Lepisosteus oculatus: one gene and its partners. The protein of the gene in region 1 binds, or shares a complex with, the protein of each later gene. Links are inferred from orthologs where the notes say so. Each region holds a gene or a part of one and is shown on either strand. Other genes may lie near its edges.

Region 1 (10,921 bases):
CACAGCGGCGTATTCAGGTGTGCAAATGATGCAGTCGTCCCCCAGCGGCCTGATCTGCACTGTTTGAAGAACAGCAGGCTGTTGTAGGGTTGAGAGAGATGTGGTGTCCATCCGTCTCTACAAATCGACTCACGAGAAGGCAGCGAGCCTGGAGGCCTCAGTCCACTCCTCCCCAGCGCCCAGCGCCCCTGTACTGACCTGAGCGCCCCACTCCGCCCCAGCGCCCCGTACTGACCTGAGCGCCCCACTCCGCCCCAGCGCCCCCGTGCTCATCCCAGCGCCCCACTCCTCCCCAGCGCCCAGCGCCCCCGTACTGACCTGAGCACCCCACTCCTCCCCAGAGCCCCGTACTGACCTGAGCGCCCCACTCCGCCCCAGCGCCCCGTACTGACCTGAGCGCCCCACTCCGCCCCAGCGCCCCGTACTGACCTGAGCGCCCCACTCCGCCCCAGCGCCCCCGTGCTCATCCCAGCGCCCCACTCCTCCCCAGCGCCCAGCGCCCCCGTACTGACCTGAGCGCCCCACTCCTCCCCAGCGCCCCGTACTGACCTGAGCGCCCTACTCCTTCCCAGAGCCCAGCGCCCCGTACTGACCTGAGCGCCCCACTCCTCCCCAGCGCCCAGTGCCCCCATACTGACCTGAGCGCCCCACTCCTCCCCAGCACCCCGTACTGACATGAGCGCCCCACTCCTCCCCAGAGCCCAGCGCCCCCTTGCTGACCTGAGCGCCCCACTGCTCCCCAGAGCCCAGCGCCCCCATACTGACCTGAGCGCCCCACTCCTCCCCAGCGCCCCCTTGCTGACCTGAGCGCCCCACTCCTCCCCAGCGCCCCCTTGCTGACCTGAGCGCCCCACTCCTCCCCAGAGCCCAGCGCCCCCTTGCTGACCTGAGCGCCCCACTCCTCCCCAGAGCCCAGCGCCCCCTTGCTGACCTGAGCGCCCCACTGCTCCCCAGAGCCCAGCGCCCCCTTGCTGACCTGAGTGCGCCGGCGGCGGTCTCCCTGACGGACAGGCTGCGGTCCAGCAGCAGCGGCCCTAGGCAGCGCACGGCGTCCCTCTGCAGGAAGGCCGGGATCACCTGGCTCTGCTGCACCATCCGCGAGATGCTGGCGCAGGTGTACTCCCGCACGTCCGGGCTCGGGTTCTGCAGCTGCCACAGGCACACACAGACACAGGCGTGACAGTTCTCAAGAAAACTCCAACTGTGCCACTGCCCAAGAACCCTAAGGCAACTTGTGTGAGTGATTTTCTGCCCAGTAGCACTCACTTCAGTCATGTGCCTAGAAAGCCCAGTATTGTCATATATACTGCACTATCCCATAATCTCTTGACCCACTTCAGTTTGCTTACCGCCTGAATAGGTCAGTTGATGATGCCATATCTCTAGCACTACATAACTCCCTAGAACATTCAGACAGATGTATGTTAGGATGCTGTTTAGGGATTACAGTTCGGCCTTTAACACAATTGTTGCCACCAAGCTGGTCCCAAAACTCAGGAATCTGGGCTTATGCAACTCTATCTGCAACTGGATACTGGATTTCCTGGCAGGCAGACCTCAGGTTGTGACAATTGGCAACAATATCTCCTCCACAGTGATCCTAAACACTGGAGCTCCCCAAGGCTGCTGTCTCAGTCCTAGGCTGTACTCTTTGTTCACCTACGACTGTACAGCCACTTACAGCAGCAACCACATTAATATGTTTGCAGATGACACCGCTATTATTGGGCTGGTCAACAACAACGAGTCCACATACAGGAATGAGGTGGAGCACCTTATAAGATGGTGCCTTGACCACAATCTGGCCCTGAATGTCACCAAGACAAATGAACTCATTGTGGACATCAGGACACCCAGAGGGAGTCTCGCCCCAATCAGCATCGAGGGTACAGCAGTGGAAACTGTCAGCTGCTTCAGATTCCTGGGGTCTGTAGATCTCTACGGACTTGGCTTGGTGTCACAACAGCCGGTCTGAAAAAGGCACAACAGCGCCTGCATTTTCTGCAGCACCATAGAAAGCGTCCTCAGTAGTGGCATCACTGTGTGGTACAGCAGTATTACCATGCATGACAGAGACGCACTACAAAGGGTTGTGGCAACAGCGCACAGGATTATAGGATGTGATTTACCATCAATCGGTGAGATTCACATCATCCGGTGTCGCAATAAAGAACGATCATCATTCAGGATCCCAACCATCCCAGCCACAGACTGTTCTCTGGCAAGTGGGACTGCACTATTAAAGCACGGACCACTAGACTCAAGAACAGTTTCTACCCTACTGCAGCATGTATCCTTAACGACTAACTGCAACGCTTCAGACCCAATACACACCTGCACTATACACGAGCCCCCACTTCCTTACAGACTGAACCAGTTAAACAGGGTCCGTTGAATTCCTGCACACTGATGCCCAAAGAGAGCTCTAGTTCTAGACCTTGTAGGCCTTGGTTCAGCAACAGGCTTTTTGACGGATCATTACTATGAGTTATTTTATTGCTCTCGTCCACCGGGGGCAGTGCGGTGGCTCTGTGGCTCAGGATCTGCCCCTGTGGCTGGAAGGTTACCAGTTCAAATCCCGCGGCTGGCAGAGGAATCCTACTCCGTTGGGCCCCTGAGCAAGGCCCTTAACCCCAGCTGCTCCAGGGGCGCCGTACAATGGCAGACCCTGCGCTCTGACCCCAAGCTTCTCTCCCTGTCTGTGTCTCATGGAGAGCAGGCGAGGGTATGCGAAAAGACGAATTCCTAATGCAAGAAATTGTATATTCCAATAAAGTGATCTTATCTTATCATATCCATTTCCTATCCACTTTATCAAATTCACAGTCTAAGGGAAGCCGGAGCCTATCCCAGTAAGCAACAGGTGCAAACAGGGAACACCCTGGGTGGGACGCCAGTCCATCACAGGCCAGATGGACACGAACGCAGACTCACGCACTCAGAACAGGGCCAGTTTTCCCAGAAGCCAGGTCTTTGGACTGTGGGAGGACAGGAGTTGGCACATTCTCCACACACATAGACAGCACCCCAGGTCCGGACTTAAACTCAGGACCCCACCACGACTGTCATGAATAACACATGACCGTATATCATTATTAATTAATCAATTTGCAGACACTAAAGAAGTGACAGAGAAATTTGAGAACTTGATTGATGTCCACAAGTGCAGAGTCACATTCAAGCAGAAGAGTAATATATAGATACAATAGAGGAAACTAGTTCTGCGCTGAGTCCACTTACAGAAAACATGTATTTATGTTGATACAATTATCATCTTCAAGACAATTTGGGAGAACAATAAAAACGCAAACGATGTTACAATATCGCGATAAAAGTGTACACTAAGTGCATCTAAATATGAGAACAAAGGCTCGTCTTTACACAGAGAGTTATTGGGGTTTGGAACAAACTTATGATCTTTTCGTGTTTCAAATCGTTTAGACTAAACTAACGGAGGAGCGTACCAATGCATGGAAAACAACTCGGAAGAGGAAGGAGAATTAATCACCAGCTCCCAAATCCAAGAGTCGGTGAATACCAGCGCGCTTTGTAGTGTGCTAAACAAACTGTCCTGCCTGGCAACATGTCGCTGAACTTTCTGTAACCACTACAGACACGCCAAGATGAAGAAAAGCGCTGGTGGTGGTTTAAAAGGAGAAAGCGGTCTAACTTTCCCTGCAGGGGCGCTAATCGCACGTGCCTCCGCTCAGCCCTTTTAAACTGGGGGACAGCCGGGCCGAGCGGAAGCATGTGACGCCGATTAGATGCATTAGTTTCAACCGGCCTCGACACCGCCGGACACCGCCGCCAGACGAAAACCTCTTACTTTGTCCAGCAGCTCGCCGGCTGGGGTGTCGACCTCTCCAGCCTCTCCGTCCTCCTCGACCTCCTCCTGGCCGATTCTGACGGGCAGCCCCTCCGCCGAGAACTGCGGCCGCTTAAACTTCTTGTTCTTGCTCTTGCCCATCGCGCTGTCGTCTGCGGGGCGAGGCGGTAGTGGCAGCTAGGCGCGGTTGTGTTACGGGACCCACACGCACTCCGATCTCAAGCGCTGCGCCCGGCCATGTGCGGATCAGTGTAGTGTAGTGTAGCTCGGCTCAGCCCCGCACGCCGCCGCCGTCCATCGCCACGGTCGCGCCGGCAAGCACGCGCACGCCGCGCGGCCTGACGCCGAGCGTGGGGCTGGGCTTGCGCGCGATGGAGCGGGCTCGGGCGCCGCGCGGGGGCTGCTGCCGCCTCGCGGAGAAGGAACAGCCTCTCCCAAGTCCCATGACTTTAAAAATCAAGAAATCGTGTTTTGTGGCACGGATTAAAATCTCTAAAACTTCTGCTTTTGCGCTTCCAGTTGATTTTACATGCAGTAGCTTAAATGGTATTAAAAAGATCACGGCCCTTTAGGTTTAACAGCAGAAGGAAATTGAAGAGAGCGACTAAGCAGCGGGATGTTGTCAGAAATGAACGAGGCAGTCATATTCTATATTGGGTATTCATTTCGCATTGCATTTGAGCTGTTGGAGGTCATTTAACATTTTTCATTGTGCAAAACCATTTCTGCTATTCATCAGAGAAAAACTCCAGGCAGTACAGAGGTAACAGACTGTTTTAATACTGCTGTAAAACTATAACCTTCACAGAGATGGTAAGTGCCAATTCTGTATCGGTAGTCTTTGGGTTTGCACGCTGAACCCATTTTTACATTAAGAGTTCACAAATTTAGTTATATGGGGATCCTTAGGCTAGACAGACTACCCCCCGCAAAAATAAATGTGTGACCAACACCCCTGTCCTGTGAGGTCTCTTCTGTCAGAAACGAACTGATGGTATTTAATGTATCGGCAAAAGATTCTGTCTGGAAGTTGCTAATGTTGATTCAGCTAACACACAAAAGCAAATATTCAGGTAGTTGGGTATCCAGGCCTGGCCTTGTGAGTGGTGTGTGTTTAAGCTTAATTTCTAAATGTTAGCTGTAGTCTCATCACCATCCATTCAGAATTGCTGTTGAGGTTTAAACACAAAACAATACACACAACACTAAAATTGATATTTATTGAAAGATATGGGGAACAAAATTAAATCAGTTACAATAAACATCTGCTACAATTGCACTGTTGGAAATCAAAAGGTTAGTCATGTGCCCGTAAGACTTTTTTTGCCAGAGAAATAATTAAAGCAAAAATATAAAAAAAAACATTCAGAGAATTCTTCTTATAAAGTGATGATAAAATTCTACTATGATGCTTCTAAGCTATGACAGTCTGAAATAATACAATGCAATGCAAGACCACAAAAGATTCAACAGATGGCTTTTGACCAATGTCATTTAAATAACTTTTCAAAGAAACAACAATACTTCAGATTTTTGGCATCCTCATGGAGAGAGAATGTTTCAGCATCCAGTCCTATTTATTAACTGAGTAAAACAGGGTTGCGATTTCTGAATCTAGCAATGCAGCATGTTCATCTCCAAAGACACTTCTACCATGGAAATGAAAAAATGTCAATGTTCAACCTAGGAAAAAAAGGTCAATTTCAGATGGATTATTTTAATTAATTTCCAATCAACAAAAAATAAAATGGTATACAAGTCTTCCAGACATACAGTACCAGCATTCAAAAGTACCAGAAGACAGCCCAGAGTTCCAGATCAATATTTTAAGCAATTCATGATTTAAACATTGTAATATGGAGAAACTGGAATATAACAATTCTTTATACAGATCCAGATTTTTTATTTCCAGTTCTGCAGTGGACTCTCTGGCATTCCTGACCTTAAAACCTAACTGATACAAGATGGCTTAGTTCACACAAGAACACTTAGTGAATCATCACTATCAGAGCTGCAACGTCCTGAGCTCATGACTCTTAGAGACAGAATTTTAGCCTTCACAGTACAGCCAAAAGAAAAAAACACTTGACAAATTTAATCAATCAAAAGCACAAATACAGGTGGGCAATGCAGACATCAAACATTCAAACCTTCCTGCATTTAATATAAAAATTGTTTAAAAAGGCTCAAGGACTTCGCATCGGTTGAAGTTTTACAAACCATGTCAAGGTAAATGACACAGGACTGCGTAGTGTTAGAGCCCCAGAGACAAGACCCAACAGTTAACAGCTTTGGCAACAGAGAGAAAATAATCCCGTTGCTGGGATCTAGGAGAAAAACCATGATATTTCCCTTTAAGATGGATTAAAAGATAAAAGTCACATGCACACCCATGCACTCTGGTGTGGTAGAGATGTGCCACACTATTTACAGCAAATACACAAGATAAATACAGTAAAAGAGACCAAGGCTGGAGGTTCCTGGTCACATTCCAATAAGCTGGTTCACACACAAGCAAGGGCTTTTAAAGTGACACAGCAACACTGAAATTTACAACACAGAAAAGTACCTTTCCACATGATGTTTGGCATTTCATAGAAACATAATTTACAAATCACCTATTTGTTATTCTCTTCTCTTCCTCTCTTTTAGATGATGGCCTCCAAGGGTTCATTGTCTGTATATCACTCAACAGATACTGCTCCTAAAAAAGCTATTTCGATTTCTCCTGGTGGTCTCTGGTCAGAACTCTCATCTCGGGAAAGGTGCTACTGGACATGTGGTCTTGGTTTCAGGATAAGCTTTCCTGTCTGCAGAAAGAAGATGGTATAAGCCATCGCCTTTGATTAAATGTTCACTTGCACCACAATAACACAAAATGAATGCCCTAAAGATTCCCAGATTAAAACCAGAAGTACTTTACATGCTCCTTCAACTGCGTTATACCAAAATAACATTTGATTCTATGAACCTGGTCTAACAGTGCTCACTACTAAAAGACGAAATTATTCAAAGATTTCCAACATTTCATTCTAAATCCTCCTCCACTTCCAGATGCTGTGCTTAAGTGTTAAGACCCAGCAAACAGAACAGGGGAATGTGCTTTCATAGACCATTCAGGGGAGACTCAATAACCAGAAACTCATCTGTCATATCCCACTGCAAGATGGTGCCTTCCACAGATGTCACAATGCAGAATCCAACTGCAGTAGATCATTTGATTCCTGTTTCTGTGCGTCCTCAAACGCACCAATTCACAATTAAACAACTGCAACAATTCTATGCCTCCTCAAGTGCAGCACCGCTCACTACAATACAGCTTCCATTCATGCCCGAGGTCTCCCAACCATTTTATGACATTTCCTTAAGAAGCCTTGTGTGTGCTGGGAATGTCTACTCACATCATCGCAGGACATGTTGTATTCTGCTAAAACTGTCCGGCAGCGGGCGGCGATTCTGAAGAACGTGGGTTAAAGAAACAGCAGAAAACTTTATAGAAAAATCTGTGGCATTTGTTTCTAGATTAATCCTACTTCACATTTAACATAACATCTTTTCATGTGTTCCTCGGTTTTGTAGGACTGTCACAATATTTCTGTATCTCGACACTGTAGTCCGCAGAGATAACAGGTCTGTCTGCCACAGCCCAACAGAGGCTAATCTTCCCTTGTTTCCTACGGGTGAGTCAAGCTATAAGACACTGCCATTAAAGTTGGCCCAGAAATGATTTTGTGTTAACAGAAGCGAATCTGCTTTTATTTGCAGTTGTATCAAAACAGCTCTTTGAAGACAAAAAGGATACATCGATGGGGCCACTACTCTCTTATGTATTCCTGCGAAGAACAAGCCTATCAATGTTATACAGCTAATTGTGAAGAATGGGTGATTCCACAGAGATGTGAAGAATGACACCTGCAAAACACATGAAAAGGATAAAAACAGATTGAGTTTAAAGAACTCGAAGGAGTTCTTGGAGAAACAGGAAGGAGACTCGGAGACCGCTTCAGAGAACATGTCAGGGCTGTGAAGATTAAAGATCTCTCCAAGCCCATTGTTTCTCATCTCACCTCTGACGGCCACGACCACTCTAATCTCTCCGTCTGTGTTCTCAAAGACGGTTTTCCGAACTCATACATCAGAAAGACCACCGAAACCAAAATTATTCTGCAGCTAGGATCACACATTCTCCCTTCTCTTAACGACAGACTACTGTTCTTTTACATTTTCTCCATTCATTGGAAGTTTCATTTCACACCTCTCTGCACCCATTCTGACTTCACACCTCTTGATTGGCCTCTCTTTCTGTCCCCTGCTCCCGCCTCTCACTCCTCCTCCCTCCCAACTTTTGTTCTCCCGCTTCTTTACCTTTGCCTACTGCCCTGTCTCTCTCACACCTGAAGAAGGCTCCACGGCCGAAACGTTGTGTTCTCTTTCTTCTTTTTTTCAGCATGGAATAAACCTGTTACTTGTTCCTTTGAGTTTAAAGAAGCCACTGATGAAATCCTTGCCTCCAGCCGGCCTCGGCGTGGCTACACACATACCTTCTGTGTCTCTGGGTCTATCAGCCAGTTCCAAGCCCCTGTCGCTGTGCAGACAGACACCACGATAAGAATCACTGTGGAGAGACGAGCACAGGGGAAGACACTGATGTGAGAACACCTGCGAACTTGGGCAGATACCAAATCTCTCAGCTCAATTTCAGTTCCTTCTCCAACACATTCATGGCCTCCAACAAGACTTAATTCTGAACAGTATTATGCAGCAGGGGCTTCTAGTTTAATACAGGCTTCATCCTTCTTTCCAATGAAAATTCCTCAATGTAATAATAATAATAATAATAATAATAATAATAATAATAATCTACCCCCCCCCCCACCCAAATGATGCAACAGCAGCCAGAGTGTGCCAGTCCGCTCCCCACACACCAGCTCTCAGTGGGGAAGAGAGCAGAGTGATGAAGCCAGTTCAAAGAAGGGGATTATTAGGAGGCCATGACTGGTAAAGGCAGGGGGTAAATTTGACCAGGATGCTGGGGTAACACCCCTACTCTTTTCCAGAAACTCCCTGGAACTTTTACTCTAACACAGGGTTTGGAATGCGTGATTGGTAGCTAGCGCAAAGATTTGATAATTTGCCTCAGTTGACAAACACTAGCAAAACAAACAAAAAGGCTCTTGCCCCAGTCCGAAACCCATCAATTCCATCCTCACGGGTCGATGTAATCTGTCAGTACTCACTCCTCCACCGCCCTGTCGCAGGCTGCAGGCAGGACACATACTCTGTCAGTCTCCTCTCAAACGCCTTCAGATCTGCACAAAAAAGATCTCCAAGCCATTAGACGCAGCTCTTAACCTTCAACACCATACAGTCACATGCTCTAATGTGAACCGTTTAAAACTTGTTTTTACTGGGAAACACCAGTTTGGATATTAATCCAAAATTTTCTGCTTATTCCAGGTAAGGCTTGTGGACTGTACATTTAATTCTTGACAACATGTAGGATTTTTTTACTCAAGCGAGTTAATAATGCAGTTTTTCATGGATCCTGACACTTCCAACTGTTTGTACCACCTCTCCTTTTCAGAACATTGGGTTTCGTTTCTGTCCCAAGCTGAAGTGAAACACAATCTGCGCTGATGGATGGAGACAGATGGCAGATGTTTCAAGCAGCTCAGTGCAACATGTACGTCTCCTTGGCCACAGACACAACTTTACTTCAAGCCTAGACATTTAAACTCCAGAAGGTGTAATGCCCAAACGCACAAGTTTGAGGCTTAAAAATAAGGTCTGATTTCTGAAGGCACCTAAAGACGCAGTAGCTGCGCGCGTGTAAGCATGTTAGATTAAAAGCTTGATAATAAGAGGTGCACACAGTTGCAACGTGAATTCACACATTCACGCTCGCCCTGTAAACATACAAAGGCATGATAAATACATACCGACGAGAAGCAGACAAAACGCATTTCTGGTCATAATTTACGTATTGTACAATACGTCAAGAAATGTTTTAAACGAGACAATAAAACATAGTAATAAATGTGCGACGAATTGTTTTTCAAACAGATCTCAACACACTATCCCCAAAACAGTGGAGAAAAATGATGGGAGTTTCCTAAATGGTGAAACCCGGCACCGGTTAAAAATATCCCCACAATATTTATGAATAAATGATTTTTGTGTAAACCGTAAAAAAGAAGAGACAAATTACGCGTACAAACAGGTGGATAGTAGTGTGAAATGACTCGTGATCTTAAATTTCTAGATCCTGCATATTATTACTGCACTGTCCCACACATTCATTGTAAAACTCACAAGGATGTTAGTTACATGTTTGTGTTTCAACGTCTTTGCAACTACAGAGTTAGTTGCAAAGCCAAATTAACACTAGTTTACGTAAACAGTGCCCGGGGCCCGGTCAACGCCGTGTCCGAGCTCAACACTCAGCCTACACCGGACTTACTGCCACCCAAGAAAAACGCACAAACTGTGAAATCCCAAATGAATACAGGTGACGGTCGCTGTGCTAAGTCGACACTACCTTCAGCCTGTTCAAGGGAGTTCATCGCCGCTGGTATCCTGCTCGCGTTGCTCCAGAGCAGCAGACCCCAGCGCTCCCGAAACCTGCACGCTGATTGGCCGAACGCGGGATCATTGCCCGAGCCTGCCGTACAAGCTGCGCTCTGATTGGCTGAGGGGTTTAAATGCGTTTGGCCATGGAGCGCTAGTCTGTACGTAACCGTGGGCTGAGGGCCGTTTCCGCTGAGAGGATGCAACAGCGGTAAAACAAATAAAAAGAATATATCGAACTGAGGGAAATTTCTGACCACAATACCCTTGCTTTGGGGAGTTGTGTGGGAAAAGACAACTCAAGTCGGTTTCACATGAGTGTTTAACGTCAATCGCGCGGAGAATTGTGGGATACGGTGAGTTCCGGTCGGGGGAGCTCGTCGGAGATGCAGAAGAAAAGATAATCTTAACATTGCGTATATTTGGTCTCAAAGCGTTCCTCAACATTTCCCACAACATTTGCCAAGACAAACACTGTTCATGAAAGAAAAAAATAACATGACACCCTCTCCTTCCTTCTCCCCTTCC
Region 2 (10,689 bases), on another chromosome or scaffold:
GAAGAACTCCTGCAAGGTCAAATCAAATAGTACAGCCAGTTTAAAAGCAATCTGGGGGAGTTAAATACTTAATTCCATCAATCCATTTTCTAACCACTTCGTTCAACTCTGGATTACAGGGCAGTCGGAGCCTATCCCAGGAAGCAACGGCCACAAGGCGGGTTACACCCTGGGTGGGATGCCAGTCGATCACAGGGCGCGCACACACACACTCACATCACGGACAGTTTCCCCAGATGTCAGCTAACCAACCAGCATGTCTTTGGGCTGCTGGATGAGTCAGGAGCACCCAAAGGAAACCCCCGCAAACATGGGGAGAACATGCTGTACAGACAGCACCCCAGGAACTGCACCCAGAGCCCCAACACTATGATGCAGCAACGCTGAATTGCAGTGCCCCCATGCTGCAGAAAAGCTTTTAATTAATTTTAAGTGCATGTTATGTCCCTGAGTAAGAATGGAGTATCTTCTAAACTCATCTGACAGTATAAACTTCCCAATCCCATCGCAGGCAAATGTACAGCACCGGAACGGGTGGGTCACACCTAAGAGGCAGACCTGTGAAAGAGTCCAGCAGAGGATCTGAACCCCCCTCCTGGGTATTAAACACATGGAGAAAATGGTAAACCTCAAGGCACTCAAGCTCAACCCCTGTCCTGTGCCCAAGAGCTCTGTGTGTAGATGTGTTTTTCCTCTACAGAGCAACACCTGTTTAATCTCGAAGTGAAATATTGTTTTGTCCAATGGATTTGCCTTGTGCCCTCGATGGAAAAGTTTGCATTAGAGGACAGAGTGCTACACTGAGTGAAAAGAAGCAAAAGAGCTGAGAGCTGCTTACGATGGATGTTTGGTCCTCGAAGGGTCTGGTTATATTCTTTCTGAAAAATGAAAGAGTCCCATTTTAAACAAACACACACATTTCTTCATGGTTCCTCATTGTTGGAAAGATTTAACTTTACTAAATGCGTACAAGAACTAGATTAAAGATTTGATTAAAAGAGAAATTAAAACATAAAATGCATCAATTTAAAAATTACCAGCACGGAAAGCAAAGTAGTAGTTCTTTTTTAACAATGCAGCTCTTGAAAATGTTACTTATACTTACTTTTTGTAAGTAACAGCATTTGGTTTCTTCAGGGAATACTGAAAAAAAGAAGAACGATTTTTTACCACAAGTCATTTTTTATGGTTTTAAAAAAGACGCATTGCTCTGAAAGTAGAAATGTCCCCCATGTGGTCTCTGCTCACACTTCAGACCAACTGGTGCCGTTCTCGTGTTAACACACTGATGCACGATGAAAACACGATGGTTTAAACACTTCAACAGCTCACGGGGCACAGGCATCAAGATGCTTTCATTTGAAATACTGAGCAGATAACATTTTGAGCAGCGCTGCTCCTTGTGAAGGTGTGATCTTATAAAGAACGACAGACGCTCAGTGACTGGCAGCCATGTGGGGTACAAATCGACAAAATCGACAAAATTAGCTGATTAAGGACCTTGTGCACACAGCATTTCTATTCTATTCTATGTCTGAGTACGCTTGCGGCAGTGTGGAAAAACTACCCAGTTTTTGTGGTGTTCAAGGGAACGTTTCCGCAGGTCTTTCCTCCCGGTGGCTGTCAGGGTGTATAACGCTGCCCTAGTCTAGGACTGTTAGCCCTTCATTTGCTCGTCTATGGACAGCATGTTGCTCCATTGTACTTTTTTTTTGGGGACAATCAGTCTGTATAAACCTACGCACATTTTGCACATATTTTACTGTTTTTACAGTGACTATCATCATATTGTGCACACACCTATGTATTTATTTTAATTTACTGTATTTCATATTTATTTTGTATTACTGTACATTCTTATGTTTCGCCAATTCTGATGTCTGTCTTTTTTGCTCGTCTCGGGCTGCTGTAACATCAATTTCCCTTCGGGATCAATAAAATCTTATCTATCAATCATTTCAACTGGTGCAAGAACAAACCTGATGCCTTTTCTATGTCCGAGTCCGCCTGTGGCAGTGTGGAAAAACTACCCAGCCGTGTTGTGGAGTCTACACCCTGGCCCCTCTGATTCATTTACTACTAGATACAAAACAGTCCTGATGGGTGGAATGGCCTGCTCTCTTTTGAAACCTTTCTTATGGTTCATTTAGGATTGGAATAAGGGAGGGTGGTCTCGTGGTGAGAAAGTGCACAGATGACGTGCCGATGTCCTGTCGGGAAATTAAGCTGTCCAGTCCAGAGAAAGCAGCAAACAGGCTGTGTAACTGGCAGACCCGAGGACAGGAAGATTCACCAGTCCTGTCACGATCTCCGACTGCAGCATGAGAAAAGTAGCCTGCATATAAACGGGACAGCTGTAATAAACTGCCAGGACAAAAAGGATCTGCCTGCTGACGTTCAGAAGAAACGCCGACAGCCGAGAGACAAAATCCCTGCCTTCAGCGGTTGAAGACCAGGCAAGATGGAGGCAACAGAGTTGCAGTGGAATGACTCAGGAATGCCGTTCTGCCCTGGACGAAGCTCAGGCCCACAGCTCGTGCAGCGACCTGGGCAAGCAGTGTGCGGGTGCTTATGTTGCTCAATCTAATCGGGCCTCTGGATCAGCTTTGCCAGCTGACTGCAGAGGCACAGCAAAAGTGGTATGGTATGCCAAAAATCAGTGCTGGCAGGACTGTGTTAAGATGCAACATACAGATGTATTTTGATGGGTTTTCACTCGAGTGCTGTGATTGTTTTATTTGCACGCTTAAAATATTTGATTGAATCCGTTAGAACTGATGCATTTCCACTGTGCATCAGCACACAGCAAAAATCCTTCCGGGCATCTCTCCCAGATCGTTTTTAAGCAAAAGCTATTCAAATGTTCAAAAATCCTAATGTGGACTCATTAACAAATGATTTGCAGATTAAATGAGTTCCAGACAAATTTCAGGAAAAGGTTTATAATAAAACATTTGAATACTGAAAGAAATACACACTGTTTATGTCCTGGGAGTTTTAAAAAACAGCTTTATATCCAGTTTTTTGGACAAAGAAGTGTCCAGTTTATGCCATACCCTTATATTTTCATGGTACAGCTGTACTACCACTCATGACAGAGATGCACTACAAAGGGCTGTGGCAACAGCACAGAGGATCATAAGATGTGATTTACCATCAATCGGTGAGATCATCCACTGTCACAATAAGGCCCAATCACCAAATCCATCCTTCAGGATCCCAGCCACCCCTGCTCTCTGGCCAGCGGTGCCACACTGTTAAAGCACAGGCCACTAGACTCAAGAACAGCTTCTACCCTACTGAGTGCACATCCTCAACAGCTATCTGCAGTGCCTCAGAGTCAATACACATCTGCACTATTTGCATAGTCGACCATGTTTTTTTTGTCTCTCACTACTACATATTTACAATCCCACAACATATTTATCATTCTGGTTGTATTACTTATTAAGTTTGTAAAGTACAGTCTACATTCTGTGGTGTTGTCTGCTGTACTGTGCACATCCCGAGAGATCGCACCAATAAGAATTCCAATGTACGTGGTGTAAATATGGCAAAAAAAACTCCTCTACTCATATTTTGGAATCTTAAATCCTACACCACGTTTCTGGTGGGGGTTGGGGTGACGCAGAGAGTACGCAGGACATATCATTGATCATGGACGCTGTGCTGTAATATCCATTCCTTCGGATTAGATGTCAAACCACGGTTCTGGTAACTTGCTCGGAAAAGACCCTATGGCACTTTTAAAAACGAGTTTGAGTGTTACCCTGGTGTTGTGGCTAAATGTCACTCTGGGCTTGCTCCCTAAATAAACTGGCGATAACGATCTCACTTCTCCAGCAGGTCTACCGTGGATGAAGTGTGTCCCCTGCTGTGTCAAGCGCCTTGGGATCCTACACACACGCAACCGCTTACAGGGATCATCGGAGAGAAACGACACTCACAAGGTCCTTCAGAGCCTGGGTGACAGTTTCACTGGTGTTCCCCCCTTTGATGAGCATCGCACTCTTCTCATTTTCAGTGAGCTTGGGCTCCCGGCTCTGGAGAAACCTCTTCGATCGCTTTGTTTTGGGTTTTCTGCAGATTCAAAACAAAGGTCTTGTGAAGCAAGAGAATTGATCAAGATGCAAAAAGCTACAAACACTGACAAGGACACTTCTAATTGGGGAGGTGAAAAGCTTGTGGAAACGTACCCAGCCAAAACCTACTGTAGCTGGTATTCTGCGAAAAAGGCAACTCCACATCCCATACTGCCATATATTTTAATTACACACATGGCCTTTCTGTCTGTTTTCCTCTGTAACAAGTTACAGGTCTTCCTCTGACAGCCACCTTGCTATTTCTCACACCCATATTATTGGAAACAAGGTGTGGTTTTACTAGGATTTACCTTGTTAAACCTAAAACACCGAGAGTACAATAAACTTTTTTTTTTTAAAAAAGGGCCCTTCGAGCCTCTAAATTCAAATATCACAGAGGAATTCAGCAGTTAAAGAGTTCGTTCGGAAACATGTCCTTCCAAGGATTTTAAAAATACCAAATATACATTAATAATCTGTACAACTATGCTTCTAATTGGGGACTTTTTGGTTTTAGTCACTGAGATACTGCAAAGTTTTTAGCAGCTGAATATCTAAAAACGATTAGAGTGAAAGAAATCATAGCAGTATGGGAAAAAAATAACAATTTTATTCTTCAAGTTAAGCCTGAAAAACAGCACCTCGGCCTCTATGCACCCAAGAATACTCACTTTGTGGGGACAGTACCCAAGTGCATCTGGGCTGTTTCCAGAGGTTTAGACCGAACGTATTCAACCCTGGAACTTCTATTTCATGCCATTAGAGGACTTTGAACCAATGCAATAAGTTACTGAATCGATCCTTAATTAAACAGCCCAGATGCTGAAAAACACCTTGTGTGGACGAACTGTCTCTTTGGCGTTACCAAGATTTACAGTAATACTCACCAATAACTTAACCCCCCGTATAGATACGCCAGTGTTAACCTGACAAGAACTAGGTCCTGCATTATTATATTTACAATACAAATTTCAGGTATTTCACTGGAATCTAATCAAACCTTAAAGAAGGTGTGACTTAACACATAGACTGAATAAGTTAACCGCCTGCATACCCACCAAACACAAATACCATTCATCGGAATATTTCATTTTTCCAAGGTAATGAATCCATATTTTAACGCACTGTCGCAAAAATGAAAAACTACATTCTCAAACACTGATCATAGTTCACTACAGTTTCCTATGCACGTTTCACAAAATACGCTACAAGCTTCCACGTGTTAAACTAAAAATACTCGTGCGGTTGCTTCTCTAATAATATTAAAACAAACACATCATCGTAAAATGTTTGGTAACTTACACTACGGCATCCAGCTGTGTCATTTTCACGACCTTAATCGATAAAACTCACAGACGCTTGAGGAAAACGCCGTCTCTCCACGTGAATCTAACACAGGAAACAGTATTCAGTTAGACCCACCCCCTTTGTTACGCAATTTCCTCTCATGGCATAAACACGTGTGAAAGCGTACACACTCTCCCCTTCCACTTTCTTATCTACTAGTATACTCAAACGAGGAGCTGCGAGGGTGGCTCGGTGGTCATTTATTACTATTTGCTATGGCTCTTGGGCAGCTTAGTGGCGCAGTGTTCAGCATCGCTACCTCGCAGCGCTGGGGCCCTGGGGAACTGGGGATCTGTGTGGAGTTAATTAATAATAATAATAATAATAATAATAATTGCTTACACTTATATAGCGCTTTTCTGGACACTCCACTCAAAGCGCTTTACAGATAATGGGGATCCCCTCCACCACCACCAGTGTGCAGCCCCACCTGGATGATGCGACGGCAGCCATAGTGCACCAGTACTCTCCCCACACACCAGCTCTCAGTGGGGAGGAGAGCAGAGTAATAAAGCCAGTTCACAGATGGAGATTATTAGGAGGCCATGATTGGTAAGGGCCAATGGGAAATTTGGCCAGGACACCAGGGTTACACCCCTACTCTTTTCGAGAAACACCCTGGGATTTTTAATGACCACAGAGAGTCAGGACCTCGGTTTTACGTCTCATCCGAAGGACGGCGCCTGTTTACAGTATAGTGTCCCAATCACTATACTGGGGCATTAGGACCCACACAGACCACAGGATGAGCGCCCCCTGCTGGCCATACTAACACCTCCAGCAGCAACCTTAGTCTTTCCCAGGAGGTCTCCCATCCAGCTACTGACCAGGCTCACACCTGCTGGGCTTCAGTGGGCTGCCAGTTGTGAGCCGCAGGGTGATATGGCTGCACCCATATAATGAGTTTGTGTGGGTTTTCTCTGGGTTCCTTGGTATATTCTGTCTTGTGTCTTCCAGTAGGGCTGTTCTCATGATGTGTAGTATTGAGAGAGATTGAGAGAGATTCCTGGGCTTTTATCTGCAGAAAGTCTTATTGTAAAGCTGCACGTTATGTGTAGACTGTAAGATTAGAGCGTATAGAATGAGTAGTATACAGTGCCTTGTGTCCATTCTCAACTAATAACCAGCAGCCATATCACCCTGCAAGCCAGCAGCCATATCACCCTGCAACTCACAACTGGCAGCCAGGAGGTCTCCCATCCAGCTACTGACTTGAGAGAGATTCCTGGGCTTTTATCTGCAGAAAGTCTTATTGTAAAGCTGCAAGTTATGTGTAGACTGTAAGATTAGGGCGTGTAGAATGAGTAGTATACAGTGCCTTGTGTTATAAATGTCACCCTGCAACTCACAACTGGCAGCCCACTGAATCCCAGCAGGTGTGAGCCTGGTCAGTACCTGGATGGGAGACCTCCTGGGAAAAACTAAGGCTGCTGCTGGAAGAGGTGTAAGTGGGGCCAGCAGGGGGCGCTCACCCTGTGGTCTGTGTGGGTCCTAATGCCCCAGTATAGTGATGGGGACACTATACTGTAAACAGGCGCCGTCCTTCGGATGAGACGTAAAACCGAGGTCCTGACTCTCTGTGGTCATTAAAAATCCCAGGGTGTGTCTCGAAAAGAGTAGGGGTGTCACCCCGGCGTCCTGGCCAAATTTCCCATCGGCCTTTATCAATCATGGCCTCATAATAATCCCCATCTATAAATTGGCTTCATTACTCTGTTCTCCTCCCCACTGAGAGCTGGTGTGTGGGGAGAGTACTGGTGCACTATGGCTGCTGTCGCATCACCAGGTGGGGCTGCACATTGGTGGTGGTGGAGGGGATCCCCATTACCTGTAAAGCGCTTTGAGTGGAGTGTCCAGAAAAGTGCTCTATAAATGTAAGCAATTATTATTATTATTAAATGTTACATGTTGTTGTTATGTGTTACACTTTACTGTGCAACAGAATGATGTGCAGTGTTTTTCTTATTTTTTGTAATAGTATAATGTGCGATGTTTTTCTTTTCTTTTCTTCTCTTTTTTTGGACTCTATTTAAAGAAATAGATTTAAATGAGTGCTGGGTGTCCATAAAACAAATCCCTCAGGGGACAATAAAAATCGTATCTTGCAGAAGTATTCAAAGACCCTTTCAAATGTTTCTGGATTACAAATGACACTTGCACATCTTTTTTTCCAAACAGTATTTTTATTGCGAACTCACACGGTAAAATAGTTTTTTTTTTAACAGACAAAATGAGTTATTTATCAGCAGATACCTAGAAAAAAAGGCAAAAACCGAAAATGCTGCTTGCGCAAGTCTCCAGAGCCCTGCTCTCTGGCAGCTCGAAGGTTATGCAGGTGAAAGAGAGTGTCCTAACAGGGATCTGATCGCCTGAGCGCACGGCCGTGACCCTCGGCTCAATTTTGTACTAGAAGTTCACGTGGGTGTCACCGGGGCTCCGGTTTCCCCCCCACCCCAGTCCTAAGACATGCTGGGAGGTTATTTGGCTTCTGGGAGAACTGGCGCTGGTGGGAGTGTCTGTCTGCCCTGTGATGGACTGGTGTGAGGCCCCAGGTGTGTCCGGCCTTGGGCCCGTTGCTTGCTGGGATAGGCTTCAGCTCCTGTATGGCTAAGGCGATCAGAAGATGAATGAATGGACGGATAGGCTACGGAATTAAAAACTGTGATCTACGTTCTCCATCATAAGGATCAGGTGACGGTTCATTCCGTGCCAAAAGGTAAAGAAAAGTAACACCACGTTTCGGCTGTGTGTGTTTCAGACGTGTGTCAATATGTATGAAATCGGGTATGAAAACTTTACAACTGAACTATCTTTCATACGCTGGTCGTGTTTCTGTGTATTTCCTTATATCCGTACACTTACCCCTATCCCTTTGTTTCTAATTGTGCAAGTCCGGGCATCAAATACACACAATTGTCAAGCTTGCCACTAGATGTCCTTAAAGGCTAATGGAAAAACGGACGAGAGCTGGTTTCAAAAAGAACCTCGTTATGTTTTACGTTTTGTGTGTGTGTGTGCGGGGGGGCATTCATGGAGCACCTGCCTTTTCTATGCCTTAATAAACTCCCAGTTGATGTACCGAGGGTGTGAATAAAAAGGCGAGCTCGACTACCAGGTGGGGCGGAATGGTTTGTCCCTGGAGAGTGAGCCATTCAGCTGAGGAGCAGACTCGGCGCACAGCGTCTACCGGGAATCGTGACGGCCATGTAGCAGCAGCGGTGTTAGATCAAGCCCTTCCTCGACGGGCAGTGGGCACAGCTGCTGTCGGGACTGTCCCACTCGCCAGTAACGATGATAAAACGAATGACGACGGCAGGGAAATGACCCCCGAGCTGTGCGGAACCATTTTGTCTGATGAGGTCGAAAGCAACGATCCGGGCAGCATGAATGTGACCCAGGACTGAAGGCCAGTGCAACCACCAGAGTCGATCAGGTGGAAAAAGAGCAAAATCTTAAAGACCTGACAAAGTGAATCTCCAGATTTAAATTCAAATGCGTGTGCATTTTCCACGTCAAAGGGAAAACAAAGCGAAAGTCAGAACAAGCCAAGAATGGGTAAGGACTCCAAAGCAGCTGCAGCAGAACACCTCGGGTTGAGCTCGGGGTTACAGACGTCAAAGGGCACCTGCAACTCGATACTAGCTTTCGCGCGCTCCAAGTGTTCACTAAGCCTGGTCACAGAGTGGGTTTTTGCTCTTAACTGTTCTAATATGATCAGACAAAATGCACGGACTTACCCACCAAAATAAAATGCTGAGAATGGATGATCGCAAATATTAATTACATTCCTGTAAAAAAAAAAAACAAGTTTTCACTTTGCCGTGCCAATGCGTTTGAAGGGCACTGTATATAATATGTGTGTACATCTATAATAACAGTTGCTCCTTTGTTCCTGGAGATTGGGATACTGGGCTACCTCCAGCTTACCCTCATTATAATGTCTACCTAATTAAAAGCGTCATTAATCACAATATGAACAAGATGTGGCCCAGTAATCAAAATGGCAATACAATTCAAGATCAGATTATAAATTCGTAGTTTACAATATCGGTGTTGTCACTTTGATTTCTTCTTTTTTTGCTTGAAGTTCTTGTGTTTCTGGACCTGTTGGTAATTCACCTTTTATCTCTTGAAAAGGCAGGCACCCACAGAGGGTGGCTGGGGTACCCTGGTATGTTTGTGAAAATGTGAGTTATTTTTTTTTGGAGTACCAAAAAACTGGAAAAGTAAGGACAGCTATGAAACTATGAGCTACGGAGAAGTAATCAAGCCTGGAAGTACAGTGAAATATCCCATGGCTACAACACGTCACCAGCATTCCTGCGATGCCCAAGTATGTTTTGTCTATTAATCAGAGTGAGTCACACCACTGAGTAATTAAGCACCTGTCTGACAGGCACATGAATATGAGTGAGCAGTTGAATCTCAGTTCTTTGGTGAAAAGGATAAACTGCTGGGGACCTCACACTGCCACATTAGGGTTGTCCAATAAACACACTATGCACTGTGCAGTAAGCTCTCGTTTTTTAACGGGCTTCAGATTAAATGGACAAAATCTGCTAAATGTGAATGTTGTATGTAGAATAAATACTGGACATTCCCTGCAGTAATGGGGAAATGCTTAAATACTAAAACATGGGCATTGTTTTAGTATTTAAGCATGAATGAGAGACACACAGACAGGGAGAGAAGCTGGGGGTCAGAGCACAGGGTCAGCCATTTATACAGCACCCCTGGAGCAGTTGGGGTGAAGGGCCTTGCTCAGGGGCCCAGCGGAGTAGGATTCCTCTGCCGGCCGCGGGATATGAACTGGCAACCTTCCAGCCACAGAGCCACCCCACCATAATGTCATTATGAAATGACTTCAAATGTACTCCACGTTCCCAGTACAATGGGACATTTTGCATGGCAAAGCCACATGGTCAAGAATACTACCTTACACCACAATACTGGAGTTTGCATTAAAACTATTCTTTCTGTACAGTACATTTATGCTGGCATTCATGCACAAATTGTCTCTCACCATGGCTTCACTGTACAACCTGCACTGGAAAGAAAAACTGCCTGACCACATAAGTGTCAATAAAGTAACATACTTCTTGGGAGTATCTAAACCTTCTCTTAGTAGTTGTTGGTAGTACTAAAACCCCAGAAAGTGCAGTTTTCACGTAATTAATGACAAATGTATAACAAGTTCAGAATAAGACAGAATACAATCACTGTATTTGGCCGAAAGGTTACATGTGGAGTGGCTAGTTTC
Region 3 (10,857 bases), on another chromosome or scaffold:
ACAGTACCGGGTTCAGCTTTAACGCAACTTCGTATTACAAAATACCTTGATAATAGCTGTGAGAATGTGCAGGACATCTGCACCTGTGACAAAACAGGAAAAGAACAATTCAAAAATCAAATAGTGTACATATTTTATTTAAATATTTACTATACATGCTTTTACATGTGGTAATTTATTGTATTCTGCTTTTAAGACTAATGCATAATTATCCCAACTTGAAGGCCACCCATCTGTCAAAAAATGACACCTCTCGCATGGCTGGGGTTTGTGCACGTTCTGTTCTACACTCGCCTGCAAAGTCGTTACTTTGAAGTGTAACTTCAGCTTTTCTTTCAACAAGTCGCTTTATCGACTGAATGTATGACTGTTTTTAAGGATCGTTCTAAGGAACAACCACAATTAATATTTTTTTAAACAGACGAACAAATAATCTTGAATATTACCGATTTGTTTTTTTTTCTCTGAATTACGTGGCTCTAGGAATTGCACACATGTAAGCAAGTAGCACGATTGGGTAAGTATGCGTTACTGCGTAAGCAAACATTAGCATGTTTACAGGTGGAGACGTTTCTGTATAACCCGTAAACCCCATTTTCGGATTTCTGCAAAGAAACTTACGCAGCCCTTTCCAATTGCCTGAGCAACTGCACGACTCTCTCACGTCCTGCCATTGCAGGCGAAGTCTTCCAGGGGCTCTCCGGCGGAAGAATTGTGGGATATAGGAGGACCGTTGAGGCGAAACCATAGCGCTGCACGTTAACATGATCACAACATTTTGTTCTGTTTATATTTATTTGGCATTTTAGACTTCTCTAGTACACCGGCATCTCAGCAGTGGACATTAACGTGTCGTTCTCTAGTGTAAATGAACATTTAGACAATTTATGTAAATTAATTTCGATAATTTATATAAAAAAAAGTCATAAAGCAGCTGTAGGTTAATTTTAATTCCGATTATGTGCTGTTCACGACTGGTGCTACTTGGGGACCCTGAAGCCTCATTTTCTGCAGTACTCAATAAGTCAGCACATTAAAATACAGTTGTATCGACGTCTTTTTAAAACTTCTTCTCGTTTTGAGACCCAAGATGTGGCTGACACTCAATACATTGGACATCAGTGTCTAGTGTATTTACTGTACAGAAAGTTTTGACTGGAGAGAAAGGACAATTTCTGCCTGTCCGTGTTAAGTTTTGTTGAAGCTGCGACGACCTCTAGCGGTACGAAAGGCACACAGCTCTTCCAATAACTTGCAAAAGATCTGCACGCAAGACAGTCGCGCCGTTTGGTCTTACAGGACATCCTCAGCTACCCGATTTTATAGGGCAGAAGCAGCAGTGATAAATTAAACACATTGGTCCAATTAAGGGAACTTCACCCCTTGAGAATTTCAGGGGATTCTGATGTTTGCCACAAGTTCTTTCTAAATTAATCAACACATCGTTTTTAATTGATCACTTGTCAAGCCAGGTCGTGTAGAAAGTGATGGTTTAATGATTACTTATAAAAGCTGCTGGTTTTGAACTCCCCAGAACCAGCATTAGGAACCCTTAACCTAGGGAAACCCAAACTTAGCCGTTGTCATAGTAACTGTGGCATTCCTCTTACACATTTACTTATCTGTAGACCAATTTTAGTCTCCACCACAAGGTTAGGGCTAATAAGATTAATAACATGTTGATAAGATTACAAGGCCAAGTTCTAGAAGTACACCAAAACAGCATTAAAATGTATATTAACAGAGTTTTAATCTCTTATCTTCAAACTTCACTTTAGCTTAAATGTTTGTTTTCAAGAGGGGAATCCGATTCTCTCATACAATTTGCATAGATTTCAGATCTTAAATGACATAAGGTTACCACTGTAACAATGAACACTAGTGATTATTAAAACAGCACCACTCAAACATACAGTAGTAAGTAATTAAGATTATACAAAGAAAATGAACATTTCCACAGCAACTGTTTGGTGAACGTTTATTCATAAGCCACCAACTTCAAATACATTCTGTAATATTTACTCTTCAGACAGCAGCAAAATTAGGCTTATGCACACCTTAAATATTCAGATTCCCAAGTCCGACACTTAATTTTCTTAACTTTAGGCACATATACGAATGCTGGGCCTTCATATTACCACCCTTTAAGCCCTTCAAACAAACTAGAAAGACATTACAAAAACCATCTTTGAAGACATAAAAGAGTCCATTAACTGTAAAAATACTATCACACGCAGAATGTATTCAGAATACAAGTAGTACAGAACTTTGAATATTTGTTATTCCCTGTCAGAAGCTGAAAAAACAGTCCCCCATTGTATGTGTCATGATAGTATAGAGCCCATCTAGGGCCTGTAATCAAGTGAATTTCACCCAGTCAGGTCAGCAAGTTAGATCTAAAGTTAACCTAACCTAAAGTTAGACCAAGGCCAATCATAAAACCGACAAAATGACAGGCAAGACAGATTTCCACTGCACAGCAGTTACAGCTGTATCAGGTACCAGATATCACTAGCTTATTTTGACTGAATCTAGGTCAAGACTAAGGCTGCAATTATATCAACTCTTCTGTTTCATAAATACCTGATGTAAAAGAGAATGCAACTCGAATATCAATTAAAACATGCTGCTGTACAATAGAATCTGAACTACATTTAGGCTCATGATAAGGTCTTCTACATTTACACCCATTTATCATTTGTTAACAGATGGGCATTCTACATGAGGCAAATGAACAAAAAACAATTTGGACGAAGGGCTTTCAGAGCTCAAAGCGAAAACAACACACGATTCTACGGAGAGACTTAATATTCAGTCGAGAGAAATTTCACTCATCCAGCGAATTGTCACGCACAGTACCGTACACTGCAAAAGAAGCAAAGCAAGGCATCGTATCATGTGGAGGAACAATAGGGTTACTCCATGCTGAAAAGAGAAGAAAGGAAACAACGTTTCGGCGGGGCGGAGCATTCTTCGGGTGTAAGAGTTAAAGAGTCTTCCAGCCGAAACGTTGTTTCCTTTCGTCACTTCTCAGCAGGGAATAAACCTATTACTTGTTCCTTTGCAGCTGACGCAGCTACGCACCTGAACTACCATATCATGTGTCCTATTAACCATCGGATACAAAAATATTTAACCCAGTGCACAGTTCATTGATGTGCGTCCCATTAAACGTGAAACCAGTTCCACGGGGCCTCACGGTTATTTCTTTGGGGGGGAACAAGGCACCAAGGTTTGCAGAAAAAGTTCGTTCTGTACAGAACACCGAATGACGACTGCATCTAGACACGCTCCTCTTCCACGCCAGGCAAAACGCGAGAAGCCCGTGGCGCCTCTATCGCTTCCCTTGCTTCATGCGTGGCTTTCTGTTCTTGCCTCCGCCTCCAGCGCGTCCCTTTTTCCCCTTTCCTTTCCCAGAAAAGTTACCCTTGCGGCCCTTTTTCCCTGGCGTTTTCCTCCTCTTGGACCCCGACTCCACATCCTCTTCCCTCATCTGCTTGTTGACGGCTTTGGTGATGTCCAGCCTGGGTTTCTTGCCGTCCATGATCTTGAGCATGTCCAGCTGTTTCTGCTTCTCGCTGGAGAAGTCGCCGATGAGGGGCTGAAACTTCCTTTTCTTCCCCGTGTTTCTAGCCGGCTTCTCCTTGGGTAGACGGTCTTGAAACTTACCCACGGAGGCCGTGGATGTCTTGGCCACCTGCATGGCCATCTGCAGCTCCGCTTTCGACTGCTGGCTGGCGGGCGTCAGCCCAGCGCCGGGCACTTTGATCTTCTGCGCCCGGGCGATGTTCTTCAGCCGGTTCAGCTCGTTTTTGGCCACCCTCTCCTTCTTGGCCTTTACGCGCTTGGCGAACTGGTCCTCGTTGGGGTCGGCGGTCGCGGGAACCTCGATCAGCCACTCTTTGGTGTCGTCATTAGCTCTCTTGTAGCCCCACCGCCTTTTCCACTCCTTGTGTACGTCGTCCCACACCAGGTTGGTTTTCTTCTTCTTCTGGATCCCCTTCAGCTTGGCGAATTCCTCCCATTTGGTCGGCGCCCTGGGTTTAGGCACCGGTTTCTCTCTCGGCAGCCGAGTGGAAGGGTCGGGTAGCTTGGCCACTATCACCTCCTCGACCCTCTCTGTGGGCAACTTCCAGAGCTCATTGATGAGCAGCTGCGTGTTGCCCCGGGCGAGAGAGCGCAGGAACTCCTCTTTTTTCTGCTGCTTGAACTCTCGGACGTGGGGAGGATTTTTATCAGATGCAAGCAAGTTCCCCAGGTCGAACTCGAGTTCGAGTTCTTTGTGGACCGAGATGCTTTTGAGTTTTTCGGCTTCTTCTTTCTCGGCTCTGGCGAGCACGTCTTCCACACTGCAGGACGCCATGACGGTCTCGCTCTCAAAGGAAGCACGCTGGAGCCCGTGGGAAAGGTCAAGCGACTGTTTCCGGGTCTCCATGGATGTGGTTTTACGTGCAGGTTCCGCTATGTGGCGGTATTTAACCGTAAATACGAAATTAAAACAATATATATTCAGCCGTGGTGGAGAAATGCGCATTTCAGGCGTAGAACTGTATATCGAAATTTCACAAGAAAAAGTATAACCAAAATAAATTATAGTTGTTGTTAAACTAATTTTACATACCTCTCATCCTTCTATGCAAACCAGTTGTGAAAATGAATTTCTTTAATAATACTCAGTAATACATTAATAATCATTAAAGGACTGAGCCTTCATATTCTCATAGTATCTCACCCTTAGTCAAATTGTCCATGACTTCATAAATATTTACCTTCCACCCCCTGTAACTATACCGTAGCTAGGGCATAACCCGATACATAATTCTTTAGCCTGGCTAAATAAACCAATATAATTTTAGACCGAGCTGACTATGTCGAGTATTATATAGACTACGCCACACACGAGGTAATGTTTTGATACTGGAGTTACGTAATATAATTTTCTCACCTGACCCCGGGCTCTTTAAATTCATTTTTTAAACGCGGAGTTTTTTTTTTAAGTTCTACTGACAAACACAGAGAAACAACTTTTCTAACGGAGTATGGCTTCCTTTAAAAATTCTAATTAACGTCTTCAAAATCTTTATTTTCGAACCATACATACATATATATTATTTTAAGACATACTTAGGTTTATCTTTTTCCAAGAAATAAATGTTAGTCAAAACTATACGATATATAGTATATAGTATATCCTATGAATGATCTTTTAACAGCCTAGTTCACTCAAAATGAATAAACAAAATCGTAAATACGAAATTAGAGTAAATAACTCTTCATAGTTTCAAGCAACTAATTTCTGAAAGAAAAGTGGCGGTCAGTAACAAGACAAATGTGTTTTTCTTCAAGGGAAAAAAATCGTTTAGTTTGTCTGATTTAAACAGTGCTAATCCCAGTCTTCCTGCATTTCACACTGAAGAGTCATGAATGAAACACATATTGACTCGCTCCTGGTGAATGGAGCTGGAACCTGTCAGTGTGCCACAGATAAAACAAGTTGAAACACAACATTTACAGTTTGTAAGCTCCAAATACTTGCCAGTCCCTGTATCTGCTGCAGTCTCTCTCTCCAGGCCTGCCACTAGAGTAAACCTAACTTGGGGATGCAGAGATTAAATGTAATGTCAGTGTCAAAAAGAGGGGTCACTTTACAGTGTTGGCATACATGAACTGAAAGTCTGCACACCACATTGCACATTACTCTCTTAGAACACTGCCTCCCTGGGCACTCTGCATAAAGCCTTTGTACATTTGTCCCAAGGCTACATCGTTCATATGGCAGGTTTTTAAACCAAACCACTATAAAATCAGCAGGTTTCATAGGCACACATCAAAGTGATTACAGATCTTGCGGTCGATGAAAACCAAAACGTTCATCCTAGTTCTTTCAAACACTGTCCAACTGGGCCTAATGTATAAAGTCAGTATTGAACATTTTTTTTTTAAATTGGCTTTTATTCATTTTGTGGAAAGAGCACACTGTGCCTTTGTTTTAAGGTCCTTAAGAGGAGCACAAACATCCTGATCTGGAAATCGTTGTAGAGGAACTCTGGTGTGGTTCCACTTACTTGGAAAGGAAACATACTGTAATATAATACTGAGACAGTAATGTCTTGCTCATATTTCTAATCCAGTCCTATATATTATTTACCTTATTCAACAAACTGTACTTACATACTGTACTGTAAGTGTGTATGAAGTGTGCATTTTTGCAATTACTTGGTGAGTGAAAGATAAAGTGATCTTATTATTTTAGTTTCAACATATTTAGTTAATATTGTTTTTGACATTTCACATCCCAAGCTATGCAACCGTTTTCCATTCAGCTGATAAATTCGAAACTGCAGTTTTGAACGGTTTTTTTACTTTTGTGCAGGATTTCTCTTTTTACTGTGTAAGAAAGCAAACACTTGTTCTACAAAAGAAATATTGCAATAAAGAAGTTAGACAAAGGCATAAATAATATTATTGCTATTAAATTCTAACAACAATTTGTTTGGGAAGCTTTTAGAGATTATTTTGTGTTACAAACTGATAACCTAAAGACTGGCAGTGCTGTAAAAACTGTGAAACAAAACAACCCTACTTGAAAAAAGCAAACAATGTTGTGTACTGCATCCTGAATAAAGAGGTCATAAACCACAGGGGAAAGTGGAACAAACCAGCTTGCTTTAAAAGTAATACTTTTATTTGGGACTTTTCCTTTGTGCAGTCATACCTTTATATTGGATGCTCTGATCCACTTACTTTCCTCCATATCTTTTGCTGTATGAGTTTCCTCAACATGCAGAAAGCTTTAAACTGAGTCAAACATTTTCAACTCTCAATTCTACAATTTGTTAGAAGAAAAAAAAAACAAGATTGAGAAAGATGCTACCAGCAAAAGACTCAAGGGTGATGTTCTACTGCTGGAGCCCATCTCTTTCTTCAAAGAGTGCCAAGAAACAAGGATTTTTTGTTCCATGTGGCACTGGTCCTGTCATCATAAACCACTTGTCTCATGTGGCTCACCATCATAGCATCAGTAGTAGTGATTCAGAAAGCTTCTTATTGTGTGCTCTAGCTGAGCCACACTTCTCAATGAGTCCAAAATTACAGCAGGGGTAATTATTTCCATTTGGGAATGAGTACACAGGCTTTGAAGTATAGCCCCTTCACTGACAGTGGAGATGTCTTGGTAAGCAGCAGACAAAATCACTATGGGGTGAAAATACTATGATAGGTTTCCTTGGCTAAATTGGAGTCAGGCTCCAATAACTATAATTCTAACATCGATCTATATAGACAGCAATTCTACTGAGAGTGCGCTTTTAGCCTTTCATTCCCAAATCATTCAGGTTTCCAAGTATTTTCTTTCTTCATAATTTACAGTATATGCTAGATAAAAATTGTTATGCATAGGTGAACATATAAACTACAAGCCAGACCAGCAGGCAGTCATATATTACAAAAATAGATACTTTATTGTCCACTGCTGTGGAAGTTTGTCTTTGGCTTCTTTCACAGAAGTACAAAACACACAAGCAAAACACAAGAGTCACATAAAATCACAACAACAGTATGTGATACATAAATAGATGGATAAATAAATATTTAGAGGGGAGACTACATTTACATACCTTCCTTAAGTAGTTTTATTGCAGAGGGGACAAAGGACTTCTTATAAATGTTTTTATTTCAATTTGGTACCCTATACCGTCTTCCTGATGGGAAGATTAGGAATTGGGAATGGAGTGGATGTGTGGAGTCAGCTGTGATGTTCCTGGGCATTCTGAGAACTGTACTATGATATGAGTTGCAGAGCTGGGGCTGCTGTTTCCCAGTTATTTTTCCTGCCATTTTCACAATCCGGGACAGTTTAGGTTTCCATACCACACTGTCATGTTAAATCCCAGGATGCTCTCAACAAGGCTTTTATATGCCATCTCTAGGATATTATGAAATTAGAACATTAAAGTTCTTGAGTCTTTGAATTAAAAACATCTCTGATTTGCTTTTTAAAAAATGTTGTCTGTATTCTCGGTGTAACTATGCCTCTGATCAATATGCATTCCCATAGACTCCCCACAACCTCTACAGGCTGACCATTGAGTACTATTGTCTGCAAAGATTGCCCTCCATCAGTTTTAGCATTGAAAAGAAGCTCTTTAGTTTACAGAAAACATTCATCAATCCACTTTCAGTCCTGGTTAGGATCATGGCGTTACAAAAAACATAACAGCATGAAAACACAAGAACAAATCAGACTGAGACGATGCCACCAGTACCAGCAAAGCTCACTAGTGTTCTTTAAGACATTTGAGCATGTGTATATAAAGGCGTCATGCTATGGTCAGTGAGCGCACTACCTACAAATGTATTATACAGAAATCATCTTTTTCCTTTGAGTTGCTAAATGTAAAAGCAACACCCAAAAAACAATTGTTTTTTAGAAAGAAAGTGTTCCAAAGTCTGTGCTGTTGCTCAGCTCAGACATATATGCCCTGTATTGAAACTGCCCTGTGTGGAAACATCTGACTGTTTCTTATGACTAAGATGGAAGAGACTAGGATACTGCAGTTTTTTATTGTCAGCAATGAATACCACTACCTCCATTTATTAAGCAGTTTGAAAATGAAACAGAAAAAAAGTTGAGAAGCACTTTGAAAATGAAAGAGAAAAAAAGTTGAGAAGCACAATCATATAATACCTTTATAAAACATCATGGACCGAGGAAATCATGCTGCTTTTAAAATATAGTACAAAATATATTACATTGTACTGAAATATTTTAGTAATGTAGTGCACGTATTTTACATAATTAGTTACACAATGCTAAGCATTTCACCTGTCTAACTAGGATGACACAAGTAGCTGGGACATGCTTGTTGAAAATGCCTGAGCTTACGATTCCTCTGGGGCAATTTCAATGTGTGCATCCCCCTAACCCCTAAGCACGAAGTGTGAAAACGTGTGACAACGTGCGTGGCATGAAATGTGTGTGTGAGTTTGCACATGCAAAGGTGATGTTTGCACAAATTACAGGCACACAGATTCGTCAGTATTAATCTCACAGCAGTTATGTCATGGTTCAGTGGCCTTTAGCCACCTGGAGTTACTCAGGGGTGTCCAGAGTTCGTTCACCTACCATGGCCACACTCCAGTGGCACTGTCCTCTGATGGAAGAATTTAAGAAAGGAGGCAGATGAGAGGTGGCTACTCAGCCCAGCTTAGCCCATCACTTGACAGTTTTATCAATGCTTTGGAGCATGTTGACAACTTGCATCAGCCCCCCTTGTTGTATTTGCTGTTTAAAATGAAAAAAAGGCAAGCGTACAATTTGTACTGTGTCACTGAAAACGTTCATTTGCATGACTCAGTCTGTGGATCAACATACTGTAGATAGGAAAATGTTTGTACAGGACGAACATTGTGTTTTTAGATGAATCCCATCAGAAACGTGTGTAACTCATTTTTGCAGGCTGCTCTACAGAATAGAAAACTATACTATTCTCTATTCTGGGCAGATGTCTGAGGTCTGCTTACAGGAATGACAATTTTCAAAACTGGAAATGTTTGTTATTTGGTGGTTTTGGGATCAGTGTGAGCTTTGGATTATCCTGTTGTTGTCAGTGTTTGTCCTACTGCACAGTGAGGTGTAGGGTTTGTGTCCCTTCTGTTGCTACATTAGCAACACCTGACGTCAAAGTGATGCTTTACATTTTCGGCTCATGCTTCTGTCCTAACATGACAAGGGCCACCCAAAGCTTTCCGCATTAAACTGTGATCAGTGTCCTGCTGGACACAGTGCTGGTACTCCAGGTTTGAACGCAACTGTGGGACAGGATGGCTAGACTCTTTCACTAGCACCAAACACATTTGCTGTACAGTATTTGCCTTACAGATTGAAAGAAACAACATCCCTGGGGTACATATTTCATGCCCCTATCAGTCTCTGCCAAGCCAATTCAATTCAATTCAACTTTATTTGTCATTATACTTACACAGGTGAATAGTACAGTGAAAAGTGTTTCTCCTTAGTCACTCAGGTGCAGTATATAAATAGAACAGAAGATAAGACAATAGACAGTAACACAACAATAACAGTGTAATAACATAACAGTGTAATCAAAACTGCAAATCCGCAGAGATAAGAATACACTTACTAACTGGCTCTAAAGAAAATAAATTTTTTCTCTGCAACTTTCAGACTCACAGAGTTCTCCTGTATTCACACTGATGCTTTTTTTTCTCCCTCCCTCTGTTCGTCCATCTGTCTGTCTGTCTGTCCCTCGCTCTAGGGCAGATTACAAATCGTTCTGCTCTCTGTCCCTAGATGGCAGATAAAGACCAACTCCCTGCTTCCTGGTTTTTATACTGTCACCTGACCAGCTGTCTGAAACCAGTTTGTCAGGTGACTAAGGATGGATGGTCATTCCCTAAAGGCTTCTGGGAACACTTAAATAACCGTACTCGTGGTTACTATAAGGCTATCTCTTAACCTGCCTAACTCAACACTCACAAAAAAAACCCAATACAACCTTGTAGTCTGCAGACCTAATCCTCCCTACTTAATTGTTTGCCCCCTAATAAAAGTGTTCTTCAAATGTCAGCAAAGAGAAAAGAGTCATATTTGAGGAAGTTTGCAAATACATTTCCTAAAAGTTTTCCCTTGTAGGGTTTGCTTTAAAAAAGTCTTAAATTCATGTTTAAATTCAACCATCTGGACCTAACTGGTGAAGGCCGGAGATTTATTTTGTTGTTTTGCAGACACGTTCTGTAATCAATATCCAAAATCCGCACATTATAATGACTGAAGCAAAGGAACAGTAAGTGAATTTAGTAAGTGCCAATAAACAGAAATTAGTATTTAAAAATTGT

What was found.
Region 2: heatr3 (region 1) and rpf2 share a complex: the UniProt entries of both Homo sapiens proteins name them as parts of the hexameric 5S RNP precursor complex. The link is inferred for Lepisosteus oculatus from reciprocal best matches to the Homo sapiens genes HEATR3 and RPF2.
Region 3: heatr3 (region 1) and rrs1 share a complex: the UniProt entries of both Homo sapiens proteins name them as parts of the hexameric 5S RNP precursor complex. The link is inferred for Lepisosteus oculatus from reciprocal best matches to the Homo sapiens genes HEATR3 and RRS1.

What each region holds. Positions count from the first base shown.
Region 1 is NC_090715.1:1,954,117-1,965,037, reverse strand, and holds the start of heatr3 (HEAT repeat-containing protein 3), read right to left. Parts: upstream 4,164-10,921; 5' UTR 3,968-4,163; coding exon 3,827-3,967; intron 1,150-3,826; coding exon 977-1,149; intron 1-976. Other genes in the region: cnep1r1 (nuclear envelope phosphatase-regulatory subunit 1), read right to left, coding at 6,595-6,636, 7,228-7,282, 7,629-7,738, 8,368-8,441, 9,064-9,135, 10,365-10,389. UniProt on the Homo sapiens protein: Plays a role in ribosome biogenesis and in nuclear import of the 60S ribosomal protein L5/large ribosomal subunit protein uL18 (RPL5). Required for proper erythrocyte maturation.
Region 2 is NC_090697.1:5,196,392-5,207,080, reverse strand, and holds the start of rpf2 (ribosome production factor 2 homolog), read right to left. Parts: upstream 5,497-10,689; 5' UTR 5,408-5,496; coding exon 5,385-5,407; intron 4,081-5,384; coding exon 3,948-4,080; intron 1,144-3,947; coding exon 1,106-1,143; intron 879-1,105; coding exon 839-878; intron 10-838; coding exon 1-9. UniProt on the Homo sapiens protein: Involved in ribosomal large subunit assembly. May regulate the localization of the 5S RNP/5S ribonucleoprotein particle to the nucleolus.
Region 3 is NC_090701.1:51,347,346-51,358,202, reverse strand, and holds rrs1 (ribosome biogenesis regulatory protein homolog), read right to left. Parts: upstream 4,457-10,857; 5' UTR 4,436-4,456; coding exon 3,335-4,435; 3' UTR 1,962-3,334; downstream 1-1,961. Other genes in the region: adhfe1 (hydroxyacid-oxoacid transhydrogenase, mitochondrial), read right to left, coding at 46-83, 622-674. UniProt on the Homo sapiens protein: Involved in ribosomal large subunit assembly. May regulate the localization of the 5S RNP/5S ribonucleoprotein particle to the nucleolus.